Linked DNA regions of Struthio camelus. The protein of the gene in region 1 binds, or shares a complex with, the protein of each later gene. Links are inferred from orthologs where the notes say so. Each region holds a gene or a part of one and is shown in the gene's direction. Other genes may lie near its edges. The genes, in order: LCK and CD8A.

Region 1 (7,829 bases):
CCCCCGGCACGAGCCGGCCCCCCCGGCACCGGTGCTTCCCGCTGCAGCGATGGGGCTGAGGCTGCGCCCGGCGCTGCGGCGGTGACAGCGCCCACCCGGGCCACCCGCGGCTCCCGCCCTGCTTACCCGCTCCGGTCCGCGGCAGCGGCGGGCAAGCTGGCGAGGGCTCGCCGCGTGCGGGCAAGCCGGCGGCGATGCCCCGGCGGGCGCGAGGGCGTGGGAACGGCAGCGCCGTCCTCGCCGCCGCCAGCCCCGACCCACCGAGCGACGGTCGGCGGCAGGAACTGGGCGACGGTCGGTCGGCTCGGCGGCAGGAACTGAGCGGCGGGCGCGGGTGAGGCTCGCAGCCGCAGCTCGGGCTCGGCGCCCGCCCGGGAGGATGTCGGCTTTAAGGTGGCCTGGCCTCGGCGTCGCTGTGCCGGCGGGGACCCGGCCCTCGCCGTGCGGCCGGGGCTGGCGGCGATGCTCCCTAGCCAGGGCGGGATGCTCGGACCTGGCACCGGCAGCGCAGGGAAGCGCCGAGGGCAGCGCGGGAAAAGGGGCAGGAGCAGGGTGGGAAGGGGCTGCGGGCAGCGCGGGAAAAGGGGCAGGAGCAGGGTGGGAAGGGGCCGAGGGCAGCGCGGGAAAAGGGGCAGGAGCAGGGTGGGAAGGGGCTGCGGGCAGCGCGGGAAAAGGGCCAAGGGCACCCTGGGAACCGTAGCATGGGCAACAGCACAAGGGGACACGGGGCTTTCAGCACGGGGGACCAAAGGGAGCTGGAGGCAGCGTCCTTGGGGACCTCTCCAGGTTTTCTGGGGCTGCAGGCGGTGGCAGGAGGTGGGCAGCAGCGGCCGTAAGCTGCCGTCATTCCTGCAGGCCCCGGCTGCAGGGAGCAGCCCTGCGGCTGCTGTGGCCATCGCAGAGCCTTCTGCGCCGGGAAGAGGGGCAGAAGCCGGGCGTAGGGGGTGCCAGCACATTGGCAGCGTGGTGCCTCCGACACCCCCACGCAGCCCTCTACGTGTCTGTGCACACACTAGCTCCGAGCCCCGTGCGGGGCAGCGGGGGGCCAGGCCGAGCCGGTGGCCGGGAAGAGGGGGGAGTGGCGGGGGGCCAGGCCGAACCGGCTCCAGCCCCGGCCCGCGGGGCTCCTGGGGCCGCTGCTCCCTCCCGGCCCGGCAGGTTCCACCTTAACGGCGACGCAGCTGCGAGCAGCAGCTCCAGGGCTGCAGCGACCTGGCGGTGCACAGCTGGCTGCACAGCTGGCGCCGGGGCCACCCAAAGCCCTCCGGGGTGAGCCCGGCAGCACCCCAGGGTGCAGACCCCGGGGTGCCTGGCCCGGGGTGAGCACCCCCCTCCTGCCCGGCACTGAGCCGAGTGCTGAAAGCGGAGCCCGGCGCTGCGGGACGGAGCAGCAGGTTTTTTTTTTTCCTTCCCCATTTTTTTGCTCTGCTCGGAGGTGGCATTCGGGGACCTCGCAGCCCTCCCTCGCTCCCAGCCCGGCGGGAAGTCGGTGTCGGCCCCGTGCCGATAACAGCGCGGGAGGGCAGGAGCGCCCAAGGATAAATCATTCGCGCCCCTGCAGGCCTTGGTGTCCTCATTAATGCTTCCTCCGTGGGGAGTCTCCTCCCAGCTGGAGACAATAACACTAAAAAAGAAACGAAACAAAAAAAAAACACCCCCCCCCCGTCCTTCGCAATTCTCTGGATAAGTAAAGTTCCTGCTTGTTATAATTATCACCGGCGTCCCCAACCTTTATTGTTCTAGGGGTGGATAAATAGCTGCGGCTCACGCACAGCTGGTGGGAGCGGGTGTCTTGCAGCCAGCGCTCCTCACTCTCCTGCGTGCACGAGCGCTTTGGGGGGCAGCGGGGTTTGCACGAGGGCTTTGGGGGGAGCAGTGGTGTTTGCACAAGGGCTTTGGGGTGCAGCGGTGTTTGCACGAGCACTTTGGGGGGAGCAGCGGTGTTTGCACGAGGGCTTTGGGGGGCGGCAGCAGGGTTGCAGCAGGGCGCTGGGGCTCCGCGCGGGCGCTGCCATGCCCTTCAGCCAGCTGAAATTCAAGGAGCTGGGCGAGGAGGAGCCCGGCTCGGACGAGGAGAGCCTGGACAGCGTGAAGGCACTGGCGGCCAAGCTGAAGCTGCAGACGCGGCGGCCCTCCTACCTGGAGTGGAAAGCGCGGGTGCAGGGGCAGCCCTGGCCGAGCAGGGCGCCCGAGGGGGCCGGGGAAGCACGGGGGGCAGAGCGGGTGCCGGCGCGCCCCGAGGAGCTGCCGGCCGGCCGCCTCCGCGGCTTCGCCTCCATGCAGGAGGCTCTGCAGTGGCTCAGGACGGAGCTGGTGAGTGGGCGCCGCGGGGAGTGCAGCTGGGCGGGGGTCCCGAGGGACGGCGGGGGGCGGCCGCGGGGCTGCGCCGGGCTCGGGGCGCCCCAGCTGCGGCTTGGCGCAGGGGCGGCTGCTTCGAGGGGTGCGCGGCGCCCCGTCCCTGCCCGCCTGCCCCGCACGGCGCCTCGCCTGCTCCGCCGCTGGCACGGCCCCGGCGTCAGCGTGGCGCGTCCCTCGGGCCGGCGCGGCCGCCCTGGCCTCTGCAGCGGGTCACCGCAACAGCTGTGCGGGTGCAGCCCCAGGGGCGGCCGTCCCGGGGGCACGGGTGCACGGTGGGGGCGTGCATGCGTGTGTGTGGGCCCCGTGCATGGTACCAGGGAGGATGTGTACACACACATGCATGGGCCCCATGCATGGTGCTGGGGGAGGATGTGCACCCACATGTGCATGGGCCCCATGCATGGTGCTGGGGGGGGATGTGCACACACATGTGCATGGACCCCATGCACGGTCCCGGGGGGGAACATGTGCACCCACATGTGCATGGGCCCTGTGCACAGTGCCGGGGGGGAACATGTGCACACGCATGTGCATGGGCCCCGTGCACGGTGCTGGGGAGGCATGTGCACCCACACGTGCATGGGCCCCCTGGATGGTGCTGGGGGGGAACATGTGCACACACGTGTGCATGGCCCCCGTGCACGGTGCTGGGGAGGGGATGCATGTACGTGGGCCCTGTGCGCAGTGCCGGGGAGGGGAGCGCTCGTGGCCCCCGGAGGGTTGTGGCCCGGCTCCCCTTGCCCGGGGCGAGGGCGGGTGACCCGGGTGGCGGCGGCAGCACCCTGACGGCTCGCTCTCGCCGCGCAGCGGGAGATGCAGGCAGCCGACCAGCTCCTGGCCCGGCAGCTGATGCGCCTGCGGGGGCAGCTGCACCGGCTGAAGGTGGAGCAGGCCTGCCACCGGCACAAGGAGATGCTGGACGACGCCACCTTTGGCCTCGAGGGCTGCGAGGAGGACTCGGACCTGCTCTGCAACATCCCGCCCAAGGCCGCCTTCCTGCTCTCCACGCCGCTCAAGCACATCGGCGTCACCCGCATGAACATCAACTCCCGCCGCTTCTCCCTCTGCTGAGCGCGCCGGACCCCCGGGGGCCCCTCGGCGGCGGGGGGCCACGGTGCAAAGCAGCCCTCCGAGAGGGAATAAAGGAGCTGAGGGCGAGCGGCGATGTCGTTTGCGGAGCCCACCGCCCGGGTCTGTGCCGCGCGGCGGCAGGTGCCCTCTCCAGCATCCTGGCAGCGCTCGGGCCGAGCGGCTGCGGGAGATGCCCCGTCGCTGCCGGGTCGCGGCTCAGCTGGAGCCCGCGGCCGAGGCCGGGAGGCGCCGGGGGCCGAGCAGCCCCGGTGCCCGGCGCCGGCCCTCGGCAAGCAGCGGGCCCCCCGGGCGCCGTTTCCGGCCGCCGTTTCCTGTTCCCAGGACTGCAGCAGGACGCGGCGGGGAGCAGCCGCAGCGCTCCCGTGATGCCGGCGGAGCAGGGCTGGACGCGTGCCCGGCGGGGCCCGGGGCCGCGGGCGCCTGCGCCAGGAAGCGATGCCGGAACCGCGTCGAGGCCGAGCCGGCGGCGGCCGCCGTGCCGAGGGCGAGCGCCCCCGGCCCTCTCCTCTTTCCCGCCGCGTCTCTTCCCGTGGCCTCTCGCCGCGTGGGGCTGCTGGCCGGCCCCGGGCACCGTGCCGGCCGGGCTGGGCCCTCGAGCCGCCGCCAGCGCCTGCCGCGGCCCCCCGGCGCGGGCTGGGCTTCCTGCCCCTGCCTCCGCGCAGCAGCCGGCACCGACCTGTGGCTTTGCCTCCGAGCGCGAAAGCCAAGACAATAGCTTTGCGGTCGCTCTGCTCGGAGCGCTCTCCAAAAACAGGGGGCTGGCGGCGTGGCGCAGCCCTGCAGGCGAGCTGCCCCCAGCCCGCGCCGGCCCCGGCCTGGCGTCCCCGCAGCTCCCGGTGCGGCTGCAGGGGGGCTGCCGCCCTCCGCCCGGGGGCTCTCGTGGCGCCGGGGGACGATCCGGGGAGCATAATAAAATCCTGGCCGCCCCAGCCCCTTGCAGCATGTCCCCCACCCCACGCAAGCCCCCGCTCCCCCTCCGGCCGGGGTCCTGGCGGGGGCGGCCCTGCCGGCTCCGTCCCAGCCCTCGCCGGTCGCCCCGAGCATCCCCGTCTCGCGTCGTTCGCTGCCCGCTCCCGACGCCGTGGGGCCCCACGCTGGGTCCCCCCCTTCCCCGGGCTGCCGCGTTCACGCGGGTGGGCTGGGTGCATCCACCCGGGGTGAGCGCGGGGGGCACCCGGTGCCGGCGGGTGGGAGCCCGGGCGCCGCTGCGCAGCCCGGCCCGGCTGGCAGGAAGCCCCTGGGGTTGGTCGCCAGCACTTGCGGTCGTGCGCGAGCTGTGAACCAGCTTCTCTAGAGTTTGCTCATGAGGCAGGAAACCAGGGAAGGCGGCGAGCGAGCGAGCGTGAGCGGCGGCGGCGGCGAGCGCGCGCCCCAGGCTCTCGCCTCCTCGCCCGGCACCGTCTGCCCGAGGATGGAGAGCAGGGCGTGAGCGGGCACGGCGCCTTCGCTCCCGCTGCCGGGCCATGGAAATCTGAGCGCGGCCGGTCCTCGCCTCGCTGCCGACAGGTACCGGGTGCCCGGGGCGCCCGCGGAGGGGTTGCGCCGGCCCGGGAGCTGGGGACCCCGCGGGAGCCCGGCCGGGGTGGAGGGGGTCCCTTCGCGCTCTCCAAAGTCACCCGGGCGGGATGGAGATGGGGTGGGAGCGACGTCCCGGGAGGGAGCCGGCGGGCGCCGCGGCCGGGCGCAGGCTCAGACACGGCGCCTGGGCGGTCGCGCCGGGCCCGGGGCCGAGGAGAGGCCGTTCCCGGGGCGGCCCCGAGCCCCCCTGCCAGGGCTCCCCGGCCGTGGGTGGCAGCCGTTAGGCACCGGCTGGGTTTCGGTGCCCGTCACCTGGTGAAACCCGGCTGGTTTTGGGCGCTGAGATGCGGCTGCTTTAGGTGCAAACATTGCCGTGCCACAAGGGCAGGAAGGGGCAAGTGCTCGGGTCACCGGCATCTCTGCAAGGCTCGGCGGCGCTGGGGCACCCGGCGGCGCTGGGGCACCCGGTGGCACTCGGGGCCGAGCGACGCGGCCGCCCACGCTCAGGGCTGCGAGCAGCGCCTTCGCCGCTGCCACCGCCCGGCCGCCAGCGAGAGCGGCCCGAGGCGGCCCGGGGAGCGCTGGGGACCCTTGGGGAGCGGAGGGAGGGGGTCAGCCCAGCCGCCAGCCCTCGCCAGGCTTCGCGTTCAGCCACGCGCGTGCTGGCAAAGGCACCAACGCCGGCCTGGCCGAAGAAGCGTGCGCACAGAAACATGGCATCCGGGCTGGCACATGGCAGCTCCTCCAGAACCGGTTGCACACGGGCGGACACGCCGGCAAGCAAACCCAGGGAGCGGTGCCTGCACGCATGCGTGGGCACCTGCATGCATGTAGGGGCACATACACGCGTGGGCACCCACACCCATGTGTGGGCACATGCAGGCATGCGTGGGCCCCTGCACGCACCCGCGAGCGGGTGCAGGCGCCCGCAGGCCGGCAGGCGCAGCCCTGCGCCCCAGAGCCGGGCCCCGGCGCGGGGCAAGGGCGCCTACACACATCACTCGCACGCAGCCTTGACACGAGAAATTCAGTTACACCGATGCAGTTGCAAAACCTGACTTCAAACGCCCCGCGACACGGCATGCCCCTCACGCTGAGCAGGTGAAACGGTTGTTTGGTGGAAATTACTCTGTGGCTTGAGTACATAAAAAAGAAAAATTACACACAGCACCAGCACGCACCTCCCTCCCTTCCCCGGCTTCTTGCACAAAGGAAAAAACACCTCTTGGCACTGTTTGCCTTCGGTGAGCGTGTCAGCGCTCGCAGCTCGCAGGGCTGCTTGCAGGCTTGCGAGGTCGCACGGCTTTTCCTCCGCCGGGGCCGAGGTCTTGCCCCGGTTGGGTCACTCGGGGCCGGCCCCGGGAGCGGACGGAGCCCGCGCTCAGCGGCCCCCGCGGCCCCTCGCCCTCCTCGGGCCGCCGCAGCCCGGCCGAGCGCTCGGCTCCGGGCCGTTAGCCGCCACCAAAGAGCTTCTTCACGTAGGTGCAGCCGGAAGCTGAAAGCAGCCGGGTGTTTTGGGGGGTGTCAGGCGCCCGAGCAGCGCTGGAGGGCACGGCGGGGCTCGCGCGCCCACCCTCTCCGTGCCGGCTGCCGGGGCAGCTCGCGCCGCGGGGCGGATGCGCCGTCCCCCGGCGGCACGGCCGCGCCGAACCCCCTTGTGCTTCTCCATCGCGGGGGCGAGGGAGGATGTCCGCCGTCTTCAAAAACAGCCCGCGGCGCAGCCGCCCCGGCCCGGAGAGGGGAAGACAGGCAAAAATGTCAAAAAATACAGCCCGCGCCCCGGGCGCTGACGTGGCAGCGAGGCAGCGGCTCCGGCGGCGGGTGCTGGGGCCGGTGCCACCCTGGGGACCCCCCCGGTTCCCACGCCCCGGCTGGCTGCTCCCCCCCAGCCCCGTGCGGTTACGCACATGCAAGCGAAACCGCTCGAGGGTCGCGTCCCGCTGCCCTCCAGCCGCCAGCCCGCGTGGCGGCCAAGTTAAATGGACGCTTTTGTGAAAAGCAGAGACGCGTTTTTAAAGGGTGGCACTCTGGGGAAGGGAAAAATAAGGAGAAGGTAGCGTCGGTGTTAGCAGCGCCGGCGGGCATCGTCGCTCCGGCGGGATGGCCCCCTCTCCCCCTTTGGCTGCCGGGACCCCCGGCTTCGTGCCGCGCTCGGCCGCGGCGGGAGGGCGCGAGCCTCCCGGGCGGTTTGCAGCGCCCGGGCGCTTCCTGCGGCGTGCGGCACTGCTGCCCGGCGGCCCCGGCGCCCAAACCGTGCAAACTGGGGGATGCTCGAGGTCCGGGGGGGGGGTCCCCGCTGTCGAGGGGCGAGCTGCCGAGGGGCCCCCGAGGAGCGACTGGGGTTTAGAGCACAGCCCTGATGCAGGAGAAAGCAGAGCCCAGGGGCGCGGGGGTCCGACCCCCCCCAGCCCTCAGACGAGTCGCTCTGCAGGGGACGGGCCCTGCCGGAAAAGAGAGCGCGACGCCAGCGGGAGGGTGCAGCAGCCCTGCGGCCCCGGGGGCTGAGGCGCTAACGGGCCCGGCGGCTGCTGAGCTCGTTAGCGCTGCAGTTTGCAAAGCTCTCGGCCCAGCGCAAGGGTAACGAACGCCCCGGGGGCGAGAAGGAAACTGGGGGTGACGCCGGGGGTGGGTGCGTGGAAGCTCTTCCCGCCGACTGCAGGAGCTGCTTTGAAGGCCAAGGACCTCGTCAAATGCTTGATGCAACGCCACGCAAAGAATTATTAATTGCTAATCGAGTAGTAACGATAGACTGATTAAGTAAAAGGGAGCCGGTAGGAATCAGCCTAAGGGCTGCGAGGGGGAAGGAGCCGCGGCAGGAGGGGGCAGCCCCAAGCCGGGGCGGCCGCAGGGGGAGGCTGCCG
Region 2 (7,730 bases), on another chromosome or scaffold:
CCGCAACATGATCATCTGCAGGGCTCGAGAAGCACCTGCTCCTCATAAGCAATGTTGTATTGTCGCTTAAGCTGTTGGAACAGAGGTTTTCTTCTTTTCAAGCCTTCTGGCGAAATACCATTAGCAGCAGAAATGACTGACCTGAGAGAGCGTGGTCATTGTGATGTTCCTCTTGTGTCTCCTGACCATCACAATGTAACTCCATGCCCTGAGACAGGCTCCTGCTACCAGGCACACACTCCTATAGGACAGCCATACCACTCAGCTGATGAGATTGTTACTGCTACAAAAAATTCGCTGCATAATTGATTCTTCCATAAAATGGCTAAGACATCAGTCATACCCAAAACTCAGCATATCTGATACCGCAAGTGCCCTCTCACTTCCAGTGTCTTCTCTGTTAAAGGGATGTAATTTTTAACTACTTCAAAGAAGTGTTGATTCCTTTAATTTACAATTTCTGTAAGAGCAGGGAGAGAGACTTAATAGATAACCCATGCAACCCCACTAATGTTTCCAAAAACCGAGATGACCCCCATTCAAAAGCCCACTCTTGAATATATTAGCATTACCGTAAATCTGTGTCCTGGTCCATGTTGGGAAATCTCCCCTGGCTTTACCAACTTAAATCTCCTCAGCAAGTACAGAGAAAACTGATCCTGAACTCACCTCCTGCCAAGCCCCATCCCAAAGACGCTAGCCCTTGTCAGTCTGTCTCTTCCCCATGTGACTTTGTCTCCTCTCCCTTTGCTCACACCTTCTTCTGTTTAGTTGTTGACATATAAATAAATTAAACAGAGATCAAATCCCCCCAACTTCTACATACCGCAAACCTTGCTGTTCCTGTTTCTCACTGCAGAAAGGACTTGCGTACCTGAAAGCTCATCTCTGTTTTCCAACTCTATCAGTGGCTCTAATCATAATTGCACCTCCACCACCCAATCTTGTCTCTCTTACAAAATCAGTTCAATTTTGTTTTACAAACTTGCTTGGATCCTGGGAAAACAATTCTATCTGCAATGAAGGGAAAGATCCCACACACTGATATGCTGCTTTTCTCCTTCACTGTTCCCACCCCATCTTTGCATGTGAGATGACCACATCCGGATCAAGTTTGTGTTATGTCATGGCGTGACTGACACCCCACCAGTGCTCTTGGCAATCACTGGTTTGGCAGGTGAGGATCCAGCAGGGCTAAGGAGCAAAGAAGCTGAGAACAAGTGGATCTGGAACATCACAAATTAATCCAGGTTGGCCTTAGTATATAATAATTCAGTCTCAGTCATAAGCAACATAGGTTAGAGTTCACCAGCAGTCAGAGACCTGCGACCGAACTCAAAAGTAAAATGAAACCTATTGGTAGGTACGGGAGAAAAAAAAAAGTTACCGTCTACTGTCTAACCAATCTGTCTGATCCGTTCACATCTCTTATAAAATGTTCTGTAGAAGTAACTGGTTGTCCAAATTGTCTTTTCTTCCTTAGTCATATCATAACTGTGGCACTGCAACAGAAATTATTAATAAAAACATGTTATTAACACTAGCTTTTGCTGATTTGACGTCTGGCCCTCAGTCTAACAACGACAAGTCTACTGCAGAGCATCATCTAGAGGATAAACTGCCAAACTAGAGCGGGCTAAAATCAAATTAATCTCATTAACCATCTCAACCACCCATTCCAGAGGAGGTGACCAGTGTAAAATACACGTATACTTTCTGCTGAGTTGAAGCTGCCGGACTGATTTGCATTCTTTGCATTCAACATGAGATTCACAGCATTACAACAAGGGACCTCAAAGCACGTACACAGACCTGACGGGGCCAGTCTCACCAGATTTACACCCCTCAGCACGGCAGCACACTGGCCCCAATATAGCTGAGATCAGAGCGCACCACTGTGCTGCTGATCTAAATTATTTATACAGGAGCAGATTTGAAAGTACAGCTTTTCCTAGAGGTCTTGTTTGTGCCTGCAGCTTTTCATACTCAAATAACTACCCTCGCCACTGTTTTAGTTGTACTTACTTGTTACTATAGAAACCCCTTTGTGCTGAGCGATATATACACACAGGGCCAAAAATACAGGATACCCGCCCCAGCGAATGTATTATTTAGGACACAAGAGATGGAAGTGCATAAAAAGGGTGGTTTCAGGCAATCAGACACAGACTTCTCCATGGAAGCAACACTTCCCCGGCTCCTCTTCTGGCCCACGAAGGGCGTCCGTGTTGGAAAGAGATGTATGACAGCCTGGTTTGATCTCTAGCTCTCTACTGACAATACCCTTTTGTCTTGCCCTAAAGGGGTATATTCATTAGGAGCTTACTGTATAAAGGAATAGCTCCCCCTAATGCCATCTCCTGTGCCTCAGCGAGGCTCCCCTCGACAGGACCCGTGCAATGCAGCAAGCAGGCAGCAAAAGAGATGGGGGTTGAAGGCATCTTTCCTGTAGTGGAAAGTCATAAAGCACTTCAGCAAAGAAAAATATCAAAAGGAGTCCTTTGAACTCCAGCATAGCACTCAGGGTCTAAACATGGCACAGGAAAGGGTGGTCTCACAGGGAAACCAGTTCGAGCAGTGAGCTGCGGGGTCCCTCTGCACCTAGGAGAGGAGCCACTGGGCTCCAGTTTGGTATCTGGAGACTGATTCATAAACAAAATATATTGTTCATTATAGAAAGGAGAGAAGGAAGATATCCCTAGTAAAAAAAAAAAAAAAGGCAATAGCCTTCACTAGGTTATCCTTTATTCTAATTATATAGGTCTCCCATCACCATATACCTGAGGATATTAACTCCACAGTATAGGCATGGCAGAGTGCACTTGGGCAGAGCGAGAATCTAGTTCTGATAAACACTGAGTCTCCCTGTTTTGCGTTGCAAAGAACATGTCCTCCAGAAATTAAACATCTGCCAACAGGTTTGCTTTCATCCAAACCACACTGAATAAAGAGAACCATCAATATTCCTACTTTGGCCCTTGGTGGGTTGTACTTTTTAAAATATTTGTGAAATACTTTTGCTTTTGTGTCACAGAGTTGTAACAGTGGTGCAAGCGGGGGGGTCTTGATGTAAGGTAGGAACCAACTCACTTCAGCATCTCCGAAAACATGAGATCCAACTTCAGGCATCTAAAAGGCAGGCATGTAGCTTAAGTTGCTTGTCTAGGTTCCTGCATTAGTAAGTGAGGACAGACACTTCCAAAAGGCACTTTATCCCATTTTAAGAGAAGTGTGAATTCTACTTCGGATAAGGAGAGTAAACCACCCGCTGAAAAGAGAAATAGAAAAGCCTAACTTGGCGTTAGTAAAGAGATGACTTTCCCCTCAAGTCTGAAGTTCACATCTGCTTGATAGGAGTTCTAGATCTGAATCCTTGCAACGTTATTTAACGAAATTGATGTTCTCTTTCATTTTACAAATATCTGTTCCACTCAGGCAGTCATCAGAAGTCTCACAGCCTCACGAAGACATGCATTGTCCAGGTCTTAGCAGGCCCAACAGCAGCTTCCCTCACTCCCTCCAGATGCTTTGATGCCCAGTGAAATAAACCCAGTGCCTAAACCAGCTCTTTCGCTCGCAACCATCGTCTCTAAGTAGCAGCCACAACAGCAGTCGCATCAAAGTTGGCAGGGCCTGGTCTCTGATGTGCCCAGGAAAGGGGGGGGTCTTTCTTTGCAAAGGGGTAACAGAACAACATCTCGCTCAGAGAAAAAAAAAACAACCCCCAAAAAATAGGCAGGAAAAGCAGGAGGGACCAAAATAAGAAGGAAAGAATACAACAGCCCAAAGCCTCTCTGGTGTGGTGAAAAAGTTGCTCTTGTGCTGTGCAGAGCTGCAGGAAGTATAAACCCCTACCCCTGTGCAAGTGGTCACCAGGAGACAGCAGCAAGGGCGCCATGTGTCAAAGAGTGTAAGGGTTTATTTGGCAGGGCGGAAGTCACTGTGGTTGCAGAAGAAAACCTCAAAATGTTAAAAAAAGGCATACCACTGGGACGTGGGGCTTTCTTGATGGGTTTCACATTACACAGACCATCTGCTTTGCACAAAGCAACTTCTGCAGAGAAATTGCAAAGAACAATTGAAAAGGGAACAACTGAGCAAAGGCACCAGAGGAGCCAACCTGCATGTCAGCAAATCTCTTGGAGATTTAAAAAAATATATATGTATGGATACATGCTGTAAAATACCACTGTGGACTTTTTTGCTGTATAATAAGACACAGCGTGCTCTCATGTCCACACTAGACCACTCCAGAGCACACTCTGCCAAGAAATGCAATTTGGGGTCCGCATCAGGGCATGGGACATTTTCATGTTTCCTGCAGAGCTAGACATGATGTAAATCCCCCAAACGACTGGGAGACGGCAATTTACGGTGGCTGATCCCATTTCAAGCACAAGTGTTGTCAGTATTACTCTCTAGTAAAGTGGTCAAGGCAAAAATCCTTGAGACTCCTTTAAAGAAAAAAAAAAAAAGGTAAATGAGCCCAAATATTGATTTAAAGCTGAATTTCTTCAGAAATCTTTTCATACTTCATTCTGCCTTAGATGCTTAGAACTGTCTCCTTACATAAGAGGGTCCTGATGACGTCACATCCTCTCCAAAAAACTACAGTCTCCGAAGTCAACCTAGAAAGATCATCTTTGTGCCGCTGCACCACCCTTGAGGACGGTCACCACTAGGAGCAAATGGCCAGAACTCCGCTGCTGTTTCTGCTCAGTCTGGGTCTCGGTAAGTATGGAAGCAAGGCGGTATATGACCTTGTCCGGGAGCAGAAAGTAAAACGAGAGGTTAAGACGTTCCCCTTTTGTCTGAATCCAATAAACTGGAAAAAAAAAGTCAAAAGGGGGGGAAAAAAAGCAGACCAGAAAGACTAACTTTCAGGTTTGCTTGGTAAACGCGTGAAGTGGAGGTACAGAAAGTCTCAAATCCATCTGTGCAGAGCAGTGAGCAGTGTAGCTCTGGCATTACACCATGGGTAACGGAGCCCAGCCAGATGACTCTTTCTGGAAGGGAGGGAAAAAGGGAGGAAATGGGGCTTTCAGCAGTCAACATTATTAGGGAGTCACTTTAAATAAGTTGGGATACGGTACCATTCCAGAGAAGGCACCTGAAAGGTTCCTCTGAATGGGAGGATCTGTCTTTAAAGATTGGGTGGGTGACTGCTGAGTACCTTCTAAGCATGCTCTCAGCAAGGACTCAAGTGAAATATTTAAGTCAGCCAGATGGCGTGGTCCTCCCTTGGCATTTTACTCCACACCCCGTGTTTCTGCGTAGCACTAACTAGCAAGGAAAAAGGTTTTCCACAAAGACTAAGCCCCAAGAGGCAGATCCCATGCTTCGTCCAGAAGGGACACGGCTTTTCCAAGTGGTTTCGCTGAGGGCGAGCGGACTGTGAAGGGAGACGAGATTTCTCTTCTGCAGGCTGCTGTGGGATCCAGGGCCAGAAGTACAAGATGACAGCCAGGTTTCGGGACAGCAAGATCACACACCCCATTCTGGGGCAGCGGCTGGAGCTGGAGTGTCTGCCTACCGAGAGGGACAGTGGGGTATCCTGGATGCGCCAGGACAAGGATGGCACCCTTCACTTCATCGTGTTCATTTCTTCCCTGTCTCGGACGACCTTTATAGGGAACATGGGAACATCTGCACGCTTTCAGGCAATGAGAGACAGCAGCTTCTACCGACTGGTCATAAAGTCTTTCTCGGTGCAGGACCAGGGAAATTATTTCTGCCTCATTAACAGCAACCAAATGCTGCATTTCAGCAACGGCCAGCCTGCCTTCATCCCAGGTCAGCAACATCTTTGCCCACTTCTGTTTGCTCTGCCAAAACCCCCAACAGCCCTTGTCCATGCCTTTTCTAATCAGAACCATCTCCCATAAACCCCATCTCCTCTGCCTCTTTGCCCAATGCATCTTGTAATCAATACACTGGTCCTTCTGCTGGAGGCTCTCCACTCACCAGCTCTTCTGGTGAACATCTCTGCAGCCCTCCTGTGTGTGCTACATCCCCTTTTCTCTTCATCTTCACTGACCACTCATATTATCAGGGTTTGGGAATCCTCAAATAGGGTGCAAGGTCTATACAACCAACTGTGGTACTGTCCCTGCCCAGAGGCAGAGATGATCGGACGGACCCAGGGTCACCTTCCCACTCCATTCACAGCTCAGAAGGCATAGGACTAAAAGTAAGTCCACAACCACCCCCTCCTTCCCCACTTTGCATAGGCCCTAGAAGTCCTCCCAACCTCAAAGTACTTTCAGCACCTTAAAAAGAAAATCACAAGCAAAGCAGAGGTCATACTTGAGAGGTCATCCTGGCTTTCAGTACACTTTTCCTGATAGCTACTGATAAGATGGGACTCAGATGCTGTAGGGGTTGTAGCAGAAAAGAAGAGATAAGGAGACTGCAGCTCTTGCAGTGTGTTTCTGGGCCATGATCTTGGGAAATCCCACTCACGGGAGTGTTGTTATGGGGGAGCCACAGTCCAAAATGGGCTATGCAAAGTTACCAGAAGCTGGGTCCTGTTCTGGCAGCGGTGGCAGAGCAAAGGGGAGGTAGAGAGCATGCTGGTTTTTCTGTGTTTCACTACGTTCCCTATTCCTCCATTTTCGCCTGCAGTCCCAACCACAAAGGCACCCACCACAGCTGCACCCACCACCCAGGGCAGCCTCACCAAGACAGAGACCTGCCTAAAGACGCCCGCACCAGGTAACGGAGCTGCAGGGAGGGAGAGGGAAGGAGCCAGGCTCTGCTGGGCCTCTCTCAGCCCACATACAGGGGATCCTCCGCACTTGCTGCAAGACCACATGCTGTTGTCCTACATTTTTTCCAGGCCAACAGTGGTGTTTTGGGTTTGAAGAGCCAAGTGCAAAGCCTGTACTGGCTAAAGGCATTTTGGGAATGGGGGGAGAGGGAAGATCCTTTAAGCTTTATCAAAGTTGGATCATGAGGTACACACAGATAAGATTAAAATTCAAGCCCCTGTTTTACTCCACTCCAGAAAGGCTAAGGATGACTTTAAAAGCCCTAGCATGCATCTCACGGCTGGGCACACTGAGAAGAGGGAGAGGTTGAAGGAGGTCAGAGCCCTGCGGGCTGGCGCTCGCTTTAGCCTCAGCAGGGGACGCAAGAAAACATTAGGTTACGCGCCCTCCCTCAGGTCCCCAGGAACCGGGACGACACATGGGCTGTGCTTGTGGACCCCTTGGCGACCAACCCTCCCTTGCGGGACAGGGAAGCCCTCTGCCTCACCTACAGCTAACATCAGCTTCGCTGAAAGCAGGCCGGGTCCCTTGGCTGAGGGTCTCTGCACACCTCCACCAGCGCTGGCCGTAACACCCGTCCCGAGCGCCTAGTGGACATCTCCTCTTCTCTCTCCTTTATCCCTGCAGAGACAAGCAAGCAGAAAGGACTGAATTTCTTCTGTGACATTTTCATCTGGGTTCCCTTGGCTTGCGGCTGTCTTCTCCTCCTCACTGCCCTGGTGATCACCATCACTCTGTGTCAAAGTAAGAGACCTGCGCTTAGCCCCCATCCCACAGATAGCCCTCTAGCCTGAAACCGAAGAGCACGGCTCTGTCCTTCAGGGGAAGGGACGTGCTGCAGCTATTCCCCTTATGCAGGCATGAGCTAACCAGGATGCAGGGAACCCAAAGGGAGGACCACTTTTGAAATCTGTTTCCATATTCACCCCATCTCTAGATTTAGCCTGAGAAATAATCAAC

The links.
Region 2: the proteins of LCK (region 1) and CD8A are in contact, whole or in part, in an NMR structure (PDB 1Q69), measured with the Homo sapiens proteins. The link is inferred for Struthio camelus from reciprocal best matches to the Homo sapiens genes LCK and CD8A. Residues at the interface, in NP_001036236.1 of Homo sapiens: Cys20, Asn22, Cys23, Tyr25, Pro26, Ile27, Val28; in NP_001139345.1 of Homo sapiens: Arg212, Arg213, Val214, Cys215, Lys216, Cys217.

The regions. Positions count from the first base shown.
Region 1 is NC_090964.1:8,587,198-8,595,026, forward strand, and holds the start of LCK (tyrosine-protein kinase Lck), read left to right. Parts: upstream 1-4,826; 5' UTR 4,827-4,956; intron 4,957-7,829. Other genes in the region: myotubularin-related protein 9-like, read right to left, coding at 127-956; protein FAM167B, read left to right, coding at 2,014-2,313, 3,166-3,429. UniProt on the Homo sapiens protein: Non-receptor tyrosine-protein kinase that plays an essential role in the selection and maturation of developing T-cells in the thymus and in the function of mature T-cells. Plays a key role in T-cell antigen receptor (TCR)-linked signal transduction pathways.
Region 2 is NC_090945.1:80,836,475-80,844,204, reverse strand, and holds the start of CD8A (T-cell surface glycoprotein CD8 alpha chain), read left to right. Parts: upstream 1-4,552; 5' UTR 4,553-4,688; coding exon 4,689-4,731; intron 4,732-5,424; coding exon 5,425-5,793; intron 5,794-6,624; coding exon 6,625-6,714; intron 6,715-7,397; coding exon 7,398-7,514; intron 7,515-7,730. UniProt on the Homo sapiens protein: Integral membrane glycoprotein that plays an essential role in the immune response and serves multiple functions in responses against both external and internal offenses. In T-cells, functions primarily as a coreceptor for MHC class I molecule:peptide complex.